Regions from separate parts of the Mus musculus genome. Here regions 2 and 3 are each reported to be linked to region 1. Evidence: microRNA targets listed by miRTarBase, many of them from high-throughput screens and not tested one by one. Region 1 holds a microRNA gene; each other region holds the end of a gene's coding sequence.
What was found. Region 1 holds the annotated microRNA mmu-miR-3076-3p (CGCACUCUGGUCUUCCCUUGCAG, at 2,397-2,419, shown strand). A microRNA usually pairs through its seed, bases 2 to 8, with sites in the 3' UTR of a target mRNA and lowers its output. Matches are read on the target gene's strand: a 7mer-m8 pairs with bases 2 to 8, a 7mer-A1 pairs with bases 2 to 7 and ends in A, and an 8mer does both.

Region 1 (5,220 bases):
GTCAAAGGAGTTTGGGGCTGGGAAACAGATGACAGAGCCACGGGTACCCAGGCAACTCTCGAGGGTTAGCATACTAGGATCGCAGCCTCTTCTGCCTCCCACATGTGGCCTCGGGAGGGTTCTGGGCTCCCTGTTCTTCAGGGCTAATCTGGCCCTCCTGCCCTCAGGTGAGCATTGCCGTGGGCTGTGCCACACGTGACCGGACAGTGCCCTTCTGCAGTACTTTCGCGGCCTTCTTCACACGGGCCTTCGACCAGATTCGCATGGCCGCCATCTCTGAGAGCAACATCAACCTCTGTGGCTCCCACTGTGGTGTGTCCATTGGTGAGTTCAGACCTGTTGCTAAGCACCAGTGCGTGTGGGAGGGCACGCTGGAAGCTGGAGCCAATCATCAGCCTCTTTTCAATACTCCAGGGGAAGACGGGCCCTCTCAGATGGCCCTCGAAGACCTGGCCATGTTCCGGTCAGTCCCCATGTCCACCGTCTTTTACCCAAGCGATGGAGTTGCAACAGAGAAGGCAGTGGAGTTAGCAGCCAACACAAAGGTTAGTCGTGTGGCTGTTCTTTTGGAAGCTAGCTCTTCCACAGAGGCAGAAGAGGAGGCCAGCGCAAGGTAGAGCTGGTCACTTGCTGCCTAGGGAGGCATTTCCTGGCCATGTCCCTCGTGTGTGTATACCTTAAAGAAACAAGACTGAGAAAATCAAAGCATACCATTCGTCATGCATCATGGCAGACACTGCCAGCTGATGGGCACTCTGCCAGCTTGACCACTGGTGTTTGCCTTCCTTGGGTTGAAGGACAGTAACCCGAGTCTCTGGTCCAGGACAATAACTGACTTGCCTCAGACTGGCATACAGAGTTTCCCGTGTCCCACCCGAGAGCCGGGGCCAGCCTTACCGAGGCATTCTGGGGAGTAGCCCCACTGAGAAGCCAAGCCAGTTTACCTTTTAGAAGTTGCTTCCAGTCTGAGATTAGCCAGGCTGTGGGTGCTTCTTCTCCTGTGTTCAGAGGTACCAGCTACAGGGAACCAGCCCCATCTCTTTGCCATAGCGCCAGGACACAATGACTGTGCCCAGGTTATAATTGACTGACTAAATGAGGCTTGTATCTAGGAAGGGTGGCCCTCTAGAAGACCAAGCTGTCGTGTTTCTCAGTTTATCTGTTCCAATCCCAGGGCATTTGCTTCATCCGGACCAGCCGCCCAGAGAATGCCATTATTTATAGCAACAATGAGGATTTCCAGGTCGGCCAAGCCAAGGTCAGTGCCCTTCGTGTATGAGAACCCGAGGGAGCCACCCACCCTGCTGCTGCTTCTACTCTCAGACCCTGCTCTGGCCCCTCACTGTCCCCATGTCACCCGCAGGTGGTCCTGAAGAGCAAGGATGACCAAGTGACAGTGATCGGGGCTGGTGTAACTCTGCATGAGGCCTTGGCTGCTGCAGAGAGTCTAAAGAAAGGTAAGAAGAAAGGGACCAGGGAGGTCACAGGCTGGTCACACAGAATCTCTAGTTAAGTCATGATGACAATAACTGAAGCCACCCTTTGAGCCATTACGCCATGTCCATGCTATGTTCTAGGACTGGTGACTATCCTCACCTATGATCCCTTTGTATCAGATCGGAGGCCATGGAGCCTGCCAGGAAAACTGAAGTCACAGCTCAGCCGGTCACTAGTTAAATGACTTATTCACCGTCTTTGTGTCTCCGATTCCCCACGTGTAAACTGGCACTTAGCCTTTATGACTGTCCCAAGGCCTTAGGTGTGCCTTGGCATTCATACTGTTATTATTACTATAAGTATAATGTTGTTAGCTAGTGATACCGTAGGGACAGAGCGTCAGCCTCGTCCTCTCAGTGAGATCGCCAGACACGTCACATCTCAAGCTTGTGAGCACCAGGAAGCAAAAGGTGGTCCCTTGGTTGGGTGACCTGAGTGGCCTGTGCAATGTGGGGGTGAACAGGACTGAGGCTGTAGCAAGCTGGGCCTGAGAGGTCAAGAAAGCTCCACCCAGACAGGGTGTCTAGGCAGCTGGGTGTGGTGAGGTGGCTTTTATTCTGAGAAAGTCACTCTGGCTACAGCTCTTCTCCCCACTATCCCAAAAACCTTTATGTTAGATCAGATATCTGAAGTCTTCCTTTTATCTTCAAAGGCATAGGAGGATAAGAGCCCCATAGTCTGCTCTAACAGTCGGTCCACAGGGCACCCAGCTGACCACTATCTCTCCCAAACAGGAGAGAATAGGGAGAAGAGCTATTCTCAATGGTGAGAGTAAGTGGACAGACAGCTAGCCACCAAAGAGTAGTTCTTCTTAGGCCCAAGACGCCCCATTCGGGATAAGGGGCCATTGGAGTTCTGTTCTAACACAGGGGAAGCTCAGTGCCAGCCTTTCTCTTAGCCGCACTCTGGTCTTCCCTTGCAGATAAGATCAGCATCCGGGTGCTGGATCCCTTCACTATCAAGCCCCTGGACAGGAAACTCATCCTAGACTCTGCCCGAGCAACCAAAGGCAGGATCCTCACCGTGGAGGACCACTACTACGAAGGTAACTGGGGCTGCACCAGCCTGGCGAGGGAAGGCCAGAGAGAGCAGTAGGGGAGGCAAGAGGTAGACACCACTTTAAGTTCCTCTGAGGACAGTCCGCCTTTGCCACTCACGGCCTGGCAGGGGCTCGGGGAGTAGAGCCAGCCGGCAAATGGGTTAGCTGGATCCCTATACCAAAGCCTAAAGCCTCAGAAGAGGCCAGGTCTCAGCTATACTGATGAAGGCTCTGGGTTTTCTGGCCACAGCTGAACTCCTGGGCCTCGTATCAAGGAGGTAAGATGGCTGGACAGGAACAAACAGGAAAGACAGTACCGAGTGTCTTCTTGAGTCCTCTATAAGTGCATGCCTGTTCTTACAGGAGCCTCTGAGGAGAGACGAGCTGAGACTCTAAGGTCAAATGCACAACTTGTGGGAGTCAAGCTGACCCCCAGCTGTACCATATGTGTGCACACACATACTAGATAAAGAAGTGTTTAAAGTATTAACTCAAGGAGCAGGGAAGACCCGGCAGTCACATAGCCTTCGAAAGCATCTATAGGTCCCCAGTGTCCTCTCCTGGCCTCTGAGGGCGTGGAGCAAGCATGTGGCTCACAGACATGCAGGAAAAACACTCGGTACACGTTTAAAAACAATTTTTTTTTAATTACATAAAGCTAAATGTTGAGGCTAAATCCCAGGACTCAGAAGGTGAAGACAGGTGAATCTCTGAATTCAAGACCACCTTGAGCTACATAGGGAGTTCTAGGCCAGTCAAAGCTACAAACAAATAGATGTAGGGCTCTGATGGTAGAGTCCTTGCCTTGTGTGCATGAAGCCCTAGGTTCAATCCCCAGCACTGTGTAAAATCAGGCAAGTGGCAAAGAAAAAGTGACAAAAAGAAAGTGCACATCTGGACTTAGAATAAATCATGGGAACCCTGGTGGATTAGTGATGTCTGCTCCGGCAAGGGCTGTGTCTTTGTCATCTCTGGCTCAGGACTAAGACCTCTCTGACTTTCCTCTGCACAGGTGGCATAGGAGAGGCAGTGTCTGCTGCCGTAGTGGGTGAACCTGGAGTGACGGTCACTCGCCTGGCTGTCAGCCAAGTACCACGAAGTGGCAAGCCAGCTGAGCTACTGAAGATGTTCGGTATTGACAAGGACGCCATTGTGCAAGCTGTGAAAGGCCTTGTCACCAAGGGCTAGGGAGGGCATGGGATGCTGGGTGGGTGAACTACACATTCCAGGGAGGTTCTGGCAGAGGTGGCGAAGGTGTACTGAGTGGGGAGGTAAATATATGTTTTGAGAAAAAAATTAATCCTCAGACTCTTTTTTTTTTCCTGTGATATAAACATATCCAGTGCCAGTATGAGAAGGAGACTGGGGAGAGAGGGAGAGAGCTGGCTCTCTAGGCTTGGGGTCAGGATCTAGGTGTCCCCTGGATCTAGGTGTCCCCTGGAATCCCCTTCTCCAGTTCAGCCTCTGCAAAGCCACAACTGCTCCCACCAAGTCATAACTGGGGACACTCATTGCAGCCTGCCTTTTAGCCAAACTAGGATCCAGCCCCTTCCTTTGCCAGTGTACCCTAAATGACACCATGGAGTTCCCTCCTGCCTTATAAAACCTTCCTGGGCCCTCCATAGCTGCACCATGGCCCCCAAGGTCCCACAACTCCTCCTTTTATGGGTGGTCACTGCTGTTTCCTAGGAATTCCGCAGTGCCCTTAGGGAGGATGGGGCCCATTTGTTGAGCTATGTGCATGTTTGCCCTTTGTCGACAAACTGCTCAGCTAGCGAGTTGCCTGGCCCGATCCTTCCATGCCAGGGAACTGTATGGTACCAACTCCAGAAACAGCAGAGCAGGTAGGTTGTCTCAGGGAGATGACAGAGACTCCTCAGTGGGTGATCTTAGGGCACACCCTGGGAGGCCTTGAGCTCCGCATGTCAGGAACTCTCCTTCACTGAGAAAAGAAGGCAAGCCATCTCCCTGTCAGGACAATTGAGGAACTTCTCAGCCACGAGTTTTGAGTCTGGACATAACTACAATATGTTATGTAGTTCTGAACAAAAACAGTAAAGCTTGGGTGCTTGGTCACCACCTGGTGGCCATTTATGGTACTACAGTGCTAAGCACACCCCTACAGAGGAATCTGAGGAAGGAGACTAGGGATGGTGTTTTCTGAACTCTGTAAAGCTCACAGCAGGTGGAGGTGACAGTGACATTACTGAACTTTGTATGCATTTTACTTAATCCTTACTACAAGAAACCACTTTAGAAGGCATTCCACTTGGCTGAGTGCTAAGGATTGGTCTATGTATTGCAATGCTAAATTCTGTACCCAAAAGTCTACAGGCTTTTATTGTGCAAACCTTCTTCCTTAATTTAAAACTATTGTTTAAATAAAATGGCTACAGTCAATTACTGGAGGATTAGAGGTAGGTGGGATTGGGAGTTGAGGTGGTGGGGGGAATGGACCTTGAGCACATGGCCAAGAGAAACTGGCAAGTGTCTGGGGCACACGGCTGGGGAGGTAGCCAGGCCAGCAGTTAGGAAAGTAGATTAGGGGTTACCCCCCAGTAATGGTCAAATAAAATAACCATTCATTTATAACCTACACGGAGATGAGCTTAAGTTGGCTTAACTACAGCCCAGTATGCAGAGTAAAGGACTGCACCTCGGGTTTTTGTGGCTACCATTTTTGT
Region 2 (5,220 bases), not on the chromosome of region 1:
AGGCAGGGATGGGCTTACTCTGTGGGACTCTAATGTCTGGAACAGTTAAGACAGGACTGGGAGTCCAGAAATGCTGGTTCACTTCCCTTAGGCAAGTCATTTTCCCTCTCAGGGCTTTAGTTTCCTTCTAAATACATGTGTGTCCCCTGACATTTCCCCAGGGGAGTGTGAGATTGACAGAGACAGTGGGCTGCTTTACTAATGGTCAATGGTAGGGTGGGGTAGGTTGGAGATTTGTAGAGACTCAATGATATAGGGAGCCATGGAAGGTTCTTGAGCAAAGAAATGACAGCTGGATCCTAAAGTGCAAGCCCTGTCCTTTACGGAGCCCTATGGTAACCCTGTCAGCACACCAGGCCTGGATGTGCAGGGAGCTGGTGCAAAGGCCTTCTCTGTGCAGGCGAGCTTCTGTGTTGTGACAGCTCATGCGTGTGCTTCTGTGTGCTGAGTGGCTGCATGTCCCAGATCCGTGCTGCACGACGTATTGGCCGGCAATGGTGCTGGGCACTGGGAGGTGGGAGGGAGATATATGCGTGTTTGTGGGCATGTGTGTTAACGTGTGCACGCAGGGCCTTAAGGCCTCACAGCATGTGTGTGCACGCCCAGGCGTGTGCGTGTGTGTGTCCCCTAACCCCCAGCCTGGCCCACCTGTGTGTTTGTGAACTGCCCTGTTGATTTCGTGCTGTCTTTCAGAATCACTATCAGTGACCCCTGAGGAGTGTCAGCTACGGTAGGTTATGCTCTCAGCCTGCTGCATGAACAGTGTGTCTACCCCTCCCTCCTCGCTGCACCAGCTCCATGCTGAGGACACCTGGGACCCCTGAGCCAGGCCCCTCCTCCTTCTCCTGCAGCTCTGGACTCCCTCTTCCTGTCCTCTTCCAGCTGGCTCTCTCACTTCCCTTTCCAGTGAGCCTCGGGACTCAGCGCCACTACTCAAGGCCTTCTTGCTTAAACTGAGGGCTCTTGGAACAGGTTTCATGTCCAAGACGGTAGATGTGGGTGCTCCCTGGAGACACCAGACCACTGTTGACAGTGTAGGGACTAAGAACTAGGAGAGGGTGTCTTCAGCCTCTGAAGGGGCCAGAAGCGTTAGGACCCCCTCTTCATACCTACTCTGAACTATGCTGCCAAGATAAGAGCTTTCTCCTTCCAGCCTAGGAGCATGGCGACTAAATTCACCACAGGGCAAGCATGAGAATCGCGCTGGCAAAGCCAGGCTCTGACTGGTGACTTTAGACAACTTAAGAGCCTTTGCCTTTCTGCCAGCGCCTGAGGGCTCGCAGGCAAGGTGAGGATCTCATTCATCCTTGACATTGCACACCTGTAGCTAACAGCCACCTCGTCAGCCCCCGACATAGAGCCAGCCCATCAGCTCCAACATTTGACCTGTTTTCAGAGTGACCTGTGCCTTTTAGCCGAAGGCAATGCATTGTCTACTGACTGGGAAAGTCAACTTGAGTTCTGCCTGGCTGGCCACAGATCTCGGTTACCCTGTCCCAACTCTTCCCCAGCCATTGACGCTCACCCTTCTGCTTTTCCCCAGCAGGAAGGGCCCAGCCTCACCTACGAGACCTGCAGCCCCCCGACCAACGGAGGCTCCCCTCTTAGACTTATAAGTCTGTGGCCGCAGGCATCGGCTGCCTGCCTCCCAGCCTCCCCAGGGTCCCCTCAGAGGACTCCTGACTTTCTGACCACCTGAGGGGCCTCCAGCGCTCCCTCCAGCCATCCCCTTTAGCTTCAATCTCCTGGTTCAAGCACTTCTGGCCTCATGGCTGTTACATGGGACTCCCTGAGGCTTGGGGTGGCCCTGAGCCAGTGAGATGAGAGACAGTGAGCAAAAATGAGGGAGGCCCTGTGGTGCATTGCCTGGGTGGTGTGTGAGAGGCCGTGTGTGTGGCAAGAGAGGGCCACCAGCCTCTACTCAGACTACCTGCTAGTTACGGCCCAGCACCCCATCTTCCCTTTCATTCATCAACTGTGCATCTCTTCCGGGAACCCTGCCCACATCCACACCTGCCTCAGCCCCTGCCTCTGCTGGAGGTGGCTGCTCTTGCCTTACCAGCTCTCCTTCCTTTTCTCTCTTCCGTTCTCTCTCGGCTTTCTCTCCAACTGCCAGCCGATCGGGTCAGGCAAGTCCGTCCCGTCCTGAGAGCCCCAGGCCCCCCTTCGACCTCTAACCAGATCCCTCCTACTCCTCGGAGACCTCCCTTACCAAGCCTGCCTGGACAGCTGTTCTGTGACTTGACAGTGGCTCCCCCGGCCCCAAAGCGTCCTATTCATCATCTGTGACTTAGTCTGTTGTAGTGGTGAGCTGACACATCCAGATGTGATGTTGGTGAAAACTTGTGCCCCTCTGTGGTATTGCTCCTGCGACATTCTATAAATATCTATAAATATACCTATATATACATATATATACATATATATGGCTGACACAGCCTCGCCTGTAGTGTCAGAATCAACCACCATGCTGTCCTTGTGGAGTCTTGTGGTCCAACAAGGGAACGCTGTCATCCTGACAACCCCCCCTCCAGTGTACCACCTCCAGTGAGCCCCCCTGTCCTCCTGGCCTGTGAACAGCCATCCCCTTGGCCATCCCAACCCTGCAGCAAGGGGATGCTGCAGCAGCAGCAGCTGTGCAGTTCTCTGGTAGCCACCAGTCTTGCTGTCTCTTGGCTGAGAATAAAACCCATTTCTGGATCATGGGGAATTGCGTGTACCTCTGCTGGTTTGTATTCTCTGGGGCTGAGAGGACGGTGTAAACTGGGCACTGAATGGAGGGTGAGGAAAGGCCCTTGCTAGGGTGCTTGTGAGTTTAGCAGGTCCTCATCCTACGAATCCTGCTTACACCACTAGGGGGCAGTATCATGAGCTCAGCCAGGATGCTGTGAACAGCCTAAAGAACAAAACAGGTCTCTAGTGTGGACAGACTAAGGGGAAGGGTCGGAATGTAAGAGGCCTGGCCTGGAAGTCAGCGCCCTTAGTTGCTGCACCCCGAGTCCCACCTATGTATACTATATGTCAGGCTTGACTCTCTTACTCAGTAAGGAAGCTCTGTCCCTGTAGCCCCATGGTACTCCCCCTGGGGTCCCTAGGCTTCAATAGGCAGTGTATAGGTGATAGGTGTCAATCAGCCCTGCCAGGCACTTCAGACCTTGGGCTCCATACAGGCCAGAAGCCTGCTCTCTCCAGGCAGGACACATTCCCTGCTCAGTGCCAGCCTGAGGCTAACCCCAGAACCAATGACGAACACCCTAGGCCCAGCAGTATGGCTAAATCCATTTATTTCCCAAGTAAAAAGCAAAATAAAGAGGAGCTGCATCAGCAGGTGCCACAACCTTGTCTCCGCCTCCTGCCCTCTGACCTAACACTACCAATAAATAAGGTTCCCAGCCCAAAGTGATTATTAGAAGCTCTTCCCATTTGCCAGCTCCAACCTCCACTATGATACAGGGGTGTCCCTACCCCGGTATATACAAAATAGTACACAGGTACAATATGTACACCGGGGGAGGGGAAGGCCACCCTGCCCCAGCAGCCTCTGTCCTGCTTGGCGTAGTTACCCCAATTGTCATAAGGCCTGAGAGAATGGTACCCACTTTCCCTGTCCCAAAGTGCCTCAAAAAGATGGAAGCCCTCCAAAGTGGGATGCCTTCCTGAGGCAGTTAGCCCCAACTGCCTGAGGACCCATGAAGTGCTGCCCAGCCCCACTGCCCTAAAGTGCCTCTGAGAAGATGGGAGTTGATCTGGGGACCTGCTGTGCCCTGGGTTCCATCCCCAGCATCACCACACAAAGGAAAAAGGCAGGGAGTGCTGGGGGTAAATCACTTGGTAGAGTGCCTGCTTAGCACTGCCAACCACCAGGCACAGCGGTGAGGCAGGGGCTCAGCTCGGGCTACAGGAGACACTCCGTAAAGAAAATGAAGATAAAATGGGGGCGGGGAGGAAAAGGAGGATAGGGAGGACTGAGCCGGTGAAAACTTAGAAGCCCTGCTGAATGCTAGGCCAGTTTACCAGCCTGCACTGCACCTGGGCACGAGAATGCTGCCACTCTGTTCTGCCCCAGAGTCCTGAGTAAGGCCTGAGGCCCTCCTTGGTGAGAAAGCCCCCAGGCCACCCAGCACAGTCTGCTCCATCACTGAGTCTCTGGCGTTCTTTCTGTAACAGGAATTTACAAAGTAAAACTGCCCTGGCTAAGAGGCAGATCTGTACCAGTCTGTGTCCCCCATTAAGATAGGAGCCTGATCTTTTGGTTTTTTCAGACAGGGTCGCATGTAGCCCAGTGTGGCCTCAAACTCACTAGGTAGATGAGGATGGCTGATTCTTCCACCTCCACTTCCCAAGCACTCAAATTACAGGTATCAGCCTTTTCAGAGGTACTGGGGACCCAAGGCTGTGTGCACAGCAGGCAAGCACTCTACCAACTGAGCTACTTCCCCAGCCCCTGGAGGGGATGGAGTCTGACCTTATTATTATTATAAAGATAAGGGTGGCTGAGGAAGGGTGTGGGTTGGGGCAGAACCTCTGGCTGCCCTTGCTGAGGCTTTGGCCGCCAGTCTTTTATACAACCATGATCTTCACCTCGTCGTTCTCATCGGCACGGTAGAAAAAGGGGATGCAAGGGTTGCTACCCAGGCCTGGCCGCTCCCGGGGGTTCTGGATCTCACGCAGCAGCTGCATGATCTGCTGTGCAGTAGGGTTCTCATGGGGAGCAGGTACCCCTGCCTCTCCTTGTGCAGGCTCTATATCGTCAGCCAGGCTCACCTCCCTGAGGTCTTTAGAGAAAGGGGGAGGGGGTCATGGCTCTGCACGCCATGGGACTCCTCCCCTTTGTGCCTTCCCAAGAGACAACAGCTCTACTCACCATCCTGCTGGTCAGCAGCACCAAATTCCTGGGAGCCTGTGGGCACTGGGGTGAGCACGTCACCAGGGTTCTGAGAGACGGCCAGGAACTTGCCCTGCCATTCATTGCGCTCGTTCACAAGCCTCAACACCAGCTCCTGGAGCTCCAGCAGCTTCACCTGGAGAAAAAGGAGCTCAACTTGAAGGGCCCAGCCCAGATTAGGCAGGGCCTGGACTACAGAAGTGTAGGCCTACCTTCATCTCCTCCTTGTCCTGAGCCAGCCGGCTGATGTATTCTTCCTTCTCCAAATGCCGAGCCTTCAGCACCGCCCTCTGATTTTGGTAAAGGGCAATGTACTCTCCTGTGGAGACGGCAGG
Region 3 (5,220 bases), not on the chromosome of region 1:
CCCTGCAGTTAGACGTACCTCCACTTGGAGGTTCTGACTCGTAGGAACCTTTCCCTCCATACAAGTTGTCCTCATTGTGTTGGTGGCCCCGGGCTCAGGGACAGCCACTTACATTCTGGCTTTCAGGTCTTTACCTGAGGGCTTGTTAGCCCTCTGCAAACTGGCCATCCCTGGCCCTTGCATGGGTGAACTGCTGGCTCTACACCCAGGAGCTGCTTGGGGTGGCCTGGGCCTCAAGACCAGGTTACTCAGCTCCTGACCCACACTCCCAACATTGTGTCCCAAGGTGCCATCGGCTTGGCTTGGACCTTCCTGCTCTATGGGCTGACCGCTGTCCTTGGCCTGGCTTTCATCTACCTACTTGTTCCTGAAACCAAAGGACAGTCTTTAGCTGAAATAGAGCAGCAGTTTCAGACAAGCAGGTAGGTGGTGGGTGAGGTGTGGGGGCTGGGACAGTGCATCAAGAGGGGTGGGGCTCTTTAGGACCTCAGTCTCCTGCTTTCTTTTGCTACATGCTTGCATCTCCTGCCTCCCTGCCATTTTGCCCAGCCACTTTCCTTCAGCTATCTTGTATCATTAGACGGTGGCTTTGCATGGACGTTAAGGCTCAGCTCCCAGGTTTGTGTGTGCACTGAAGGGAACATGCATACCTGGGCCTCTTCCCGTGTAACTGTGTGTAACACATGTAAGCATTCGACCCTGAGCTCCGTCCCAGCCCTGGTTTTTCTTTTTGAGGCACAGCCCCACCATATCAGGTGGGGGCAGTGATGCCCACTGCCTCCTGCCCAGGGAGGCTTCAGGCCTGCTGTTCTCTGATTGTGTGGTTTCATTTGCAGGTTCCCTCTAAACTTTGGCCATAGGCAGCGCATCGGTATTCAGTACCATCGCCTGGATGTCTCCTCAGCCTCCTGAGGCATCCGTCTGCTTGGAAGATGCTGGGACATTGGTTCCTGCAGCCCATCTCCTGCTCCCTGCCTGCTGGGGTCTGAAACTCCTGATACAGATTTCCTTCTGTAGTGACCTCTGCTCCCAGAGGCTGCCTCTTGCCGGTGTGAGAGATAACTGCCAAACTCTTCATTTTGAGTGTGAGACTCTGAGGGCTCTCTGGAAGATTTAGCTCCATGCCTCAGTTTCCCCAGGGAGTTGACTTGTCTGCCATGTTTATAATGACATCCTCTGTGGCGTTCATCAAGTGCTTCTCAGAGGACCTGGGAAGGAAGTGTCTCTTACCACCATCCCCAACCAGCAGAGGCTGTGAGTCTCCGCCTTCCTCGTCCCCTTGCTGGGGTCTTAGTGATCCAGAGCCTGTATTCATCAGCCCCTCCCACTTGCCCAAGATGTTTATCAGGTGCTGGGACTCTGACTGGGGACAGCAGGCTGTAACGGAGATGGTCTTATGACCCTGGCCTCAGTTTCCCCATGTGTCTCACAGAAACTGGACTAGGCTACTCCTAAGATCCCTTCTCACTCCACAAGGACCGAAGTCTCAGAGCAGGGATATAATAAGCACTCAATGAAGGGGCCCTGTCGAGTGGCTCTGGGGACAGAAGCTTTGTTAGTTAGCAGAGAGTGCACCTCTGTTCCAGAGTCTAGCATTCTGGAATGTAAGAGCAGGACTCCAACGTGTGACAAGTGCTAGGACCCCAATAGTTTCCAGGGTTCGGCAGAAGGCTTTGAATGAAGGAAGGGATTAGAGGGACTCATCCGTGTGTTGGTGATTGTGGCTTCTACTTCAGTTGCTACTGACTTCCTAAAGCCCTGGTTTATTCATCTGCAGAATGGGCACAGTTGTGTGCCTCAGGATATATTGACGTACGCCATCTCTCTCAGGAGAGTCTTCCGTGAGCCCTGGGGGCTTCTGCTCACCGTGTTACATAGAGCTCTTCTTTGGGGGCGTTGTAAAGGTCAGTCAACTGGAGACAAGCAAGAGCCTCAGGTCAGAGGTCACATAAGGAGGACATCAATAAAACAGAGTTAGTTCCTAGACACTGGGTAGCTGGCCTCACCAGCACTGTCAGCTGTCATACCCTCCTGGTTCCCAAGCCTGGCCTGGTGACCATGCTCTCTGTTTCTAGATACGTCATTCATAACCAGTGGTGTGCTGGATTAAGCTTGTGCTGGCTCCCCAGAGCTGACTGCCACGCAGTTGGGACTTCTACAGACTGGTTGCTAAGCACTGGCATCATCTAGAAAGTGTTTTCATGGATAATAAACAATCAGTGTAATTATAATAGTCAATACTCAAACCTCATCACCGCCTATGTGCTGGTGCATGCCTGTAATCCCAGCACTCAGGAGGCTAAAGGATTGAGTGTTCTAGGCCAGTCTGGCTTCAAACTGAAATCTTATCCAACCAAATCAATAGACGAATACAAAAAAACCAAACCTTATCACTGCCTCCTAACATCTCTGCTGCCCTTCTCCCTCCTCCACGCTGCTGGGATGCCCTCTGTGTGTGTGTGTGTGTGTGTGTGTGTGTGTGTGTGTGTGTGTGCTTACAGAGTGCTCTTCAGGTGGAACGTTTTCTCACACAAAGACGTGTAATTTAAAAGTGTATTTTGAAATAAATTATTTTGAGCACAAACGCATATGGTGATTTATATTTCCGCACAAATGCACGTGTGTTGTCTACTAAGTGTCAAGGGTCACTCTAGACCCCAGGGCAGAGTGTGGCCTAGACAAGGTTCCTGTGCTTATTCTGACATTCTGGTTGGGTGGCTGGTCCATGAGAAAGATAAGGAGATGAAAAGGGGAAAGAAGGACAGAAAACTGAATGGAGGGGAGAAAAACCATTGATTGATAGATACAGAATAGTAGGGATAAGATGACAGACAACACACAAATAACCAGATCCTCTCCAGTCCCCCAATTTTTCTTTTTTTTACACTTTTGGGAAATACTCTAAAATGAATAGGTTAAGAACTGCCCTTGCCTTGTATGTTACAGAGAATATTTGGCGTCTACTCACACTTTCCTTTGTGATGATAAATCAAACCAGTTAAAAATGAAGGCCGGAGAGCTGGCGTGACAGTGCACACATTTAATCTCAACACTTGGGAAGCCGGGGAAGATGGATCTCTGCGAGTTCTAGGTCAGGTCTGTCTACACAGTGAGTCTCAGAACAGTCAGAAAGACATAGTGAGACCAAAACAAAAAACATAAAAAAAAAAAAAAACCAAAACCACAAAGATAAGCAGAAGTGTCCGTGTAGCCCAGACTGTCCTAGAACTGACTATATAGACCAATCTGGCTTTAAACTCACAGAGATCCATCTGCCTCTGCCTCCCGCCGCGCGAGTGCTTGGATTAGTGGTGCTCCCCACTAATGCCCTGTGTCCCAAGAGGCTGAGTTCAGAAACACTGACCCTGACCAAGGTCAAGAGCAGAAGCAGCAATTTCTCACACCATTTGGATGTTTCTTCTGCATGTGTAGAAACTTGAGTTGCAGGAGCGCCAAGTCAACATTCCAGCTTTCCTGGCAAGGACTGAGTTTGCCAGTGGAAGCAACAATGTTTTCATTTTCTCATTTTCTTCCTCGCCCCGCCTCTGTGCTTCTCAGCTTTCTCCACTTGTGCATCTCCTTTACATTCACCTCCATGACGTTGCTAAGTTCTTCCAGACTTATGGGCCATGTGCCACCCTAAACCTCTGAGTTTGACTGGGCTGGTCGTTACCGAGATAGGATCCAAAAAACTTTCTCTGGCTCCATCTGTCAATCAGATGCCAACGTCTGGAGAGGGTGAGAACTGGGCAACGGTGCTGGGTACCGCACTTCATTGCCATCTGCTGAGATGGAGCTGGGCACAGAACAAGTTGCTCCAACGTCCTCGGTTGTTGAGGTTTGGTCTTTTGCGATGTATTGTAATACTAAAAACTGTCTCCCAAGACACCTGGTCGCCCCCAGGGATGAGAGAATCTGCACGCACACAAGGGATGCTATGTGACCTTGCCCCGCCCCCCAAGTTATCCCTGATTGGTGAATAAAGATGCCCACAGCCAATAGCAGGCAGAGTTTGGGTTCTATGGCTTGGACTCTGAGGAGACCATGAAAGAGATGGAAAGAGACTGTGGGAAGAGAAGATCCCATGGTTAGCTGGATCATGCAAACATGGCTGTGAGAGCTGGCCAATTGGAGTTCAGAGCTGCCCAGATGGAACATGGCAAATTATAATTTGGGGTTATTGATAGCGAAGTAGATTTTAATAGCTTGGAGGATTGATATCTGCCCAGTTCTACTGCTGATTAAGGCTTATTATAAATACAAAGGTCGAGTGTCTTTTATCTGGGAACTGAAGGATAAGAGGTGGGGTAGAAACCCCTGATCTGAGATTAAATAAAAACTGTAACCCTTGATGGTTAAACACATTGACTCTGTACTGCCTTTTCTAGCATCTTAGGCTCCAAGCAGTACTTGAAGCTCTCCCACACTGGGCAGCGTGGTCCCACGAGAATGACCAGTCCTGGTCACTGTGATGTTCCTTGGTTGTTCACAGAGCTCTGAGTTCTACACATTGAAAGAGCAGAGTCAGAAAGAAGCAAATATACTTCCTAAGACTTAGGGGTTGCTTCTCCCCTGGCTATCCACTCTCAGATTTGCCTGTAGGTCCCTCCCAGGCAGTCCATGGTCTGACACCTGCTTGGGTTGGTCACACTTTGGGGTGGCATTCTACTGGGACTGTTGGCTGACCCAGAGCTAACTGCTTCTGAAAGACCCCCGTTTCTGGGGAGACTCTCGCTCAAGTCCTGGGATGAGCCGATGCCCCAATAACTATTGCATGAGGTTTATTCAGGAATCAGCATGCTGAGGCCGAGCTCGTAACTCACACAGGGAGAGAAGAGATCGACCCCCAGCAGTTGCAGTCGAGGGTTTTTAAAGAATAAACCACAAAGTGAGGGGAGGATAAGGCCACAAAGAATGGGGAAGCTGAGTAAACATCGTAAGAATGAGGATGGTGAATTACAGCTCATCTCTCACAGAAAGGTTACAGGCTATCTTTGGCAAACATTCTTGGTCCTTTTACACTATGGGTCAGGAGCTTGGGTGGGTCACCTAGTGGTCATTGTTCTCTCAGGCTGAAGGTGAAAGAACAAAGAATTCCATGCTGGGCTTCGTTTCTAGGGGGTCTAAGAAACATATTGAGTTGGGGTCGTACACGTCTAGAAGTTCAGAACCAGTCTCTGGAAGAAGCCCACGTCTGTGGCCCAGTGACCTCCGTGAACC

Region 2: the mRNA of Golga2 is a reported target of mmu-miR-3076-3p. Seed matches in the 3' UTR shown: 7mer-m8 at 4,413-4,419.
Region 3: the mRNA of Slc2a10 is a reported target of mmu-miR-3076-3p. Seed matches in the 3' UTR shown: 8mer at 1,567-1,574 and 7mer-m8 at 2,500-2,506.

What each region holds. Positions count from the first base shown.
Region 1 is chr14:30,569,789-30,575,008 of GRCm38, forward strand. Mir3076 (microRNA 3076) reads left to right here and starts at 2,361; the gene lies at 2,361-2,420. Tkt (transketolase) reads left to right here. Exons shown (of 14, transcript NM_009388.6): 9 at 168-324; 10 at 415-545; 11 at 1,175-1,258; 12 at 1,364-1,457; 13 at 2,420-2,542; 14 at 3,549-4,936. The coding sequence ends at 3,724.
Region 2 is chr2:32,305,961-32,311,180 of GRCm38, reverse strand. It overlaps Golga2 (golgi autoantigen, golgin subfamily a, 2), which reads right to left. Exons shown (of 26, transcript NM_001080968.2): 24 at 5,098-5,204; 25 at 4,865-5,021; 26 at 3,268-4,775. The coding sequence ends at 4,561. It overlaps Dnm1 (dynamin 1), which reads left to right. Exons shown (of 23, transcript NM_001301737.1): 22 at 694-730; 23 at 2,117-2,710. The coding sequence ends at 715. Among named protein-coding and RNA genes, the nearest start is that of Gm23363, 9.7 kb to the left of the region's middle.
Region 3 is chr2:165,517,331-165,522,550 of GRCm38, forward strand. Slc2a10 (solute carrier family 2 (facilitated glucose transporter), member 10) reads left to right here. Exons shown (of 5, transcript NM_130451.3): 4 at 287-422; 5 at 837-2,587. The coding sequence ends at 912. Among named protein-coding and RNA genes, the nearest start is that of Slc2a10, 16 kb to the left of the region's middle.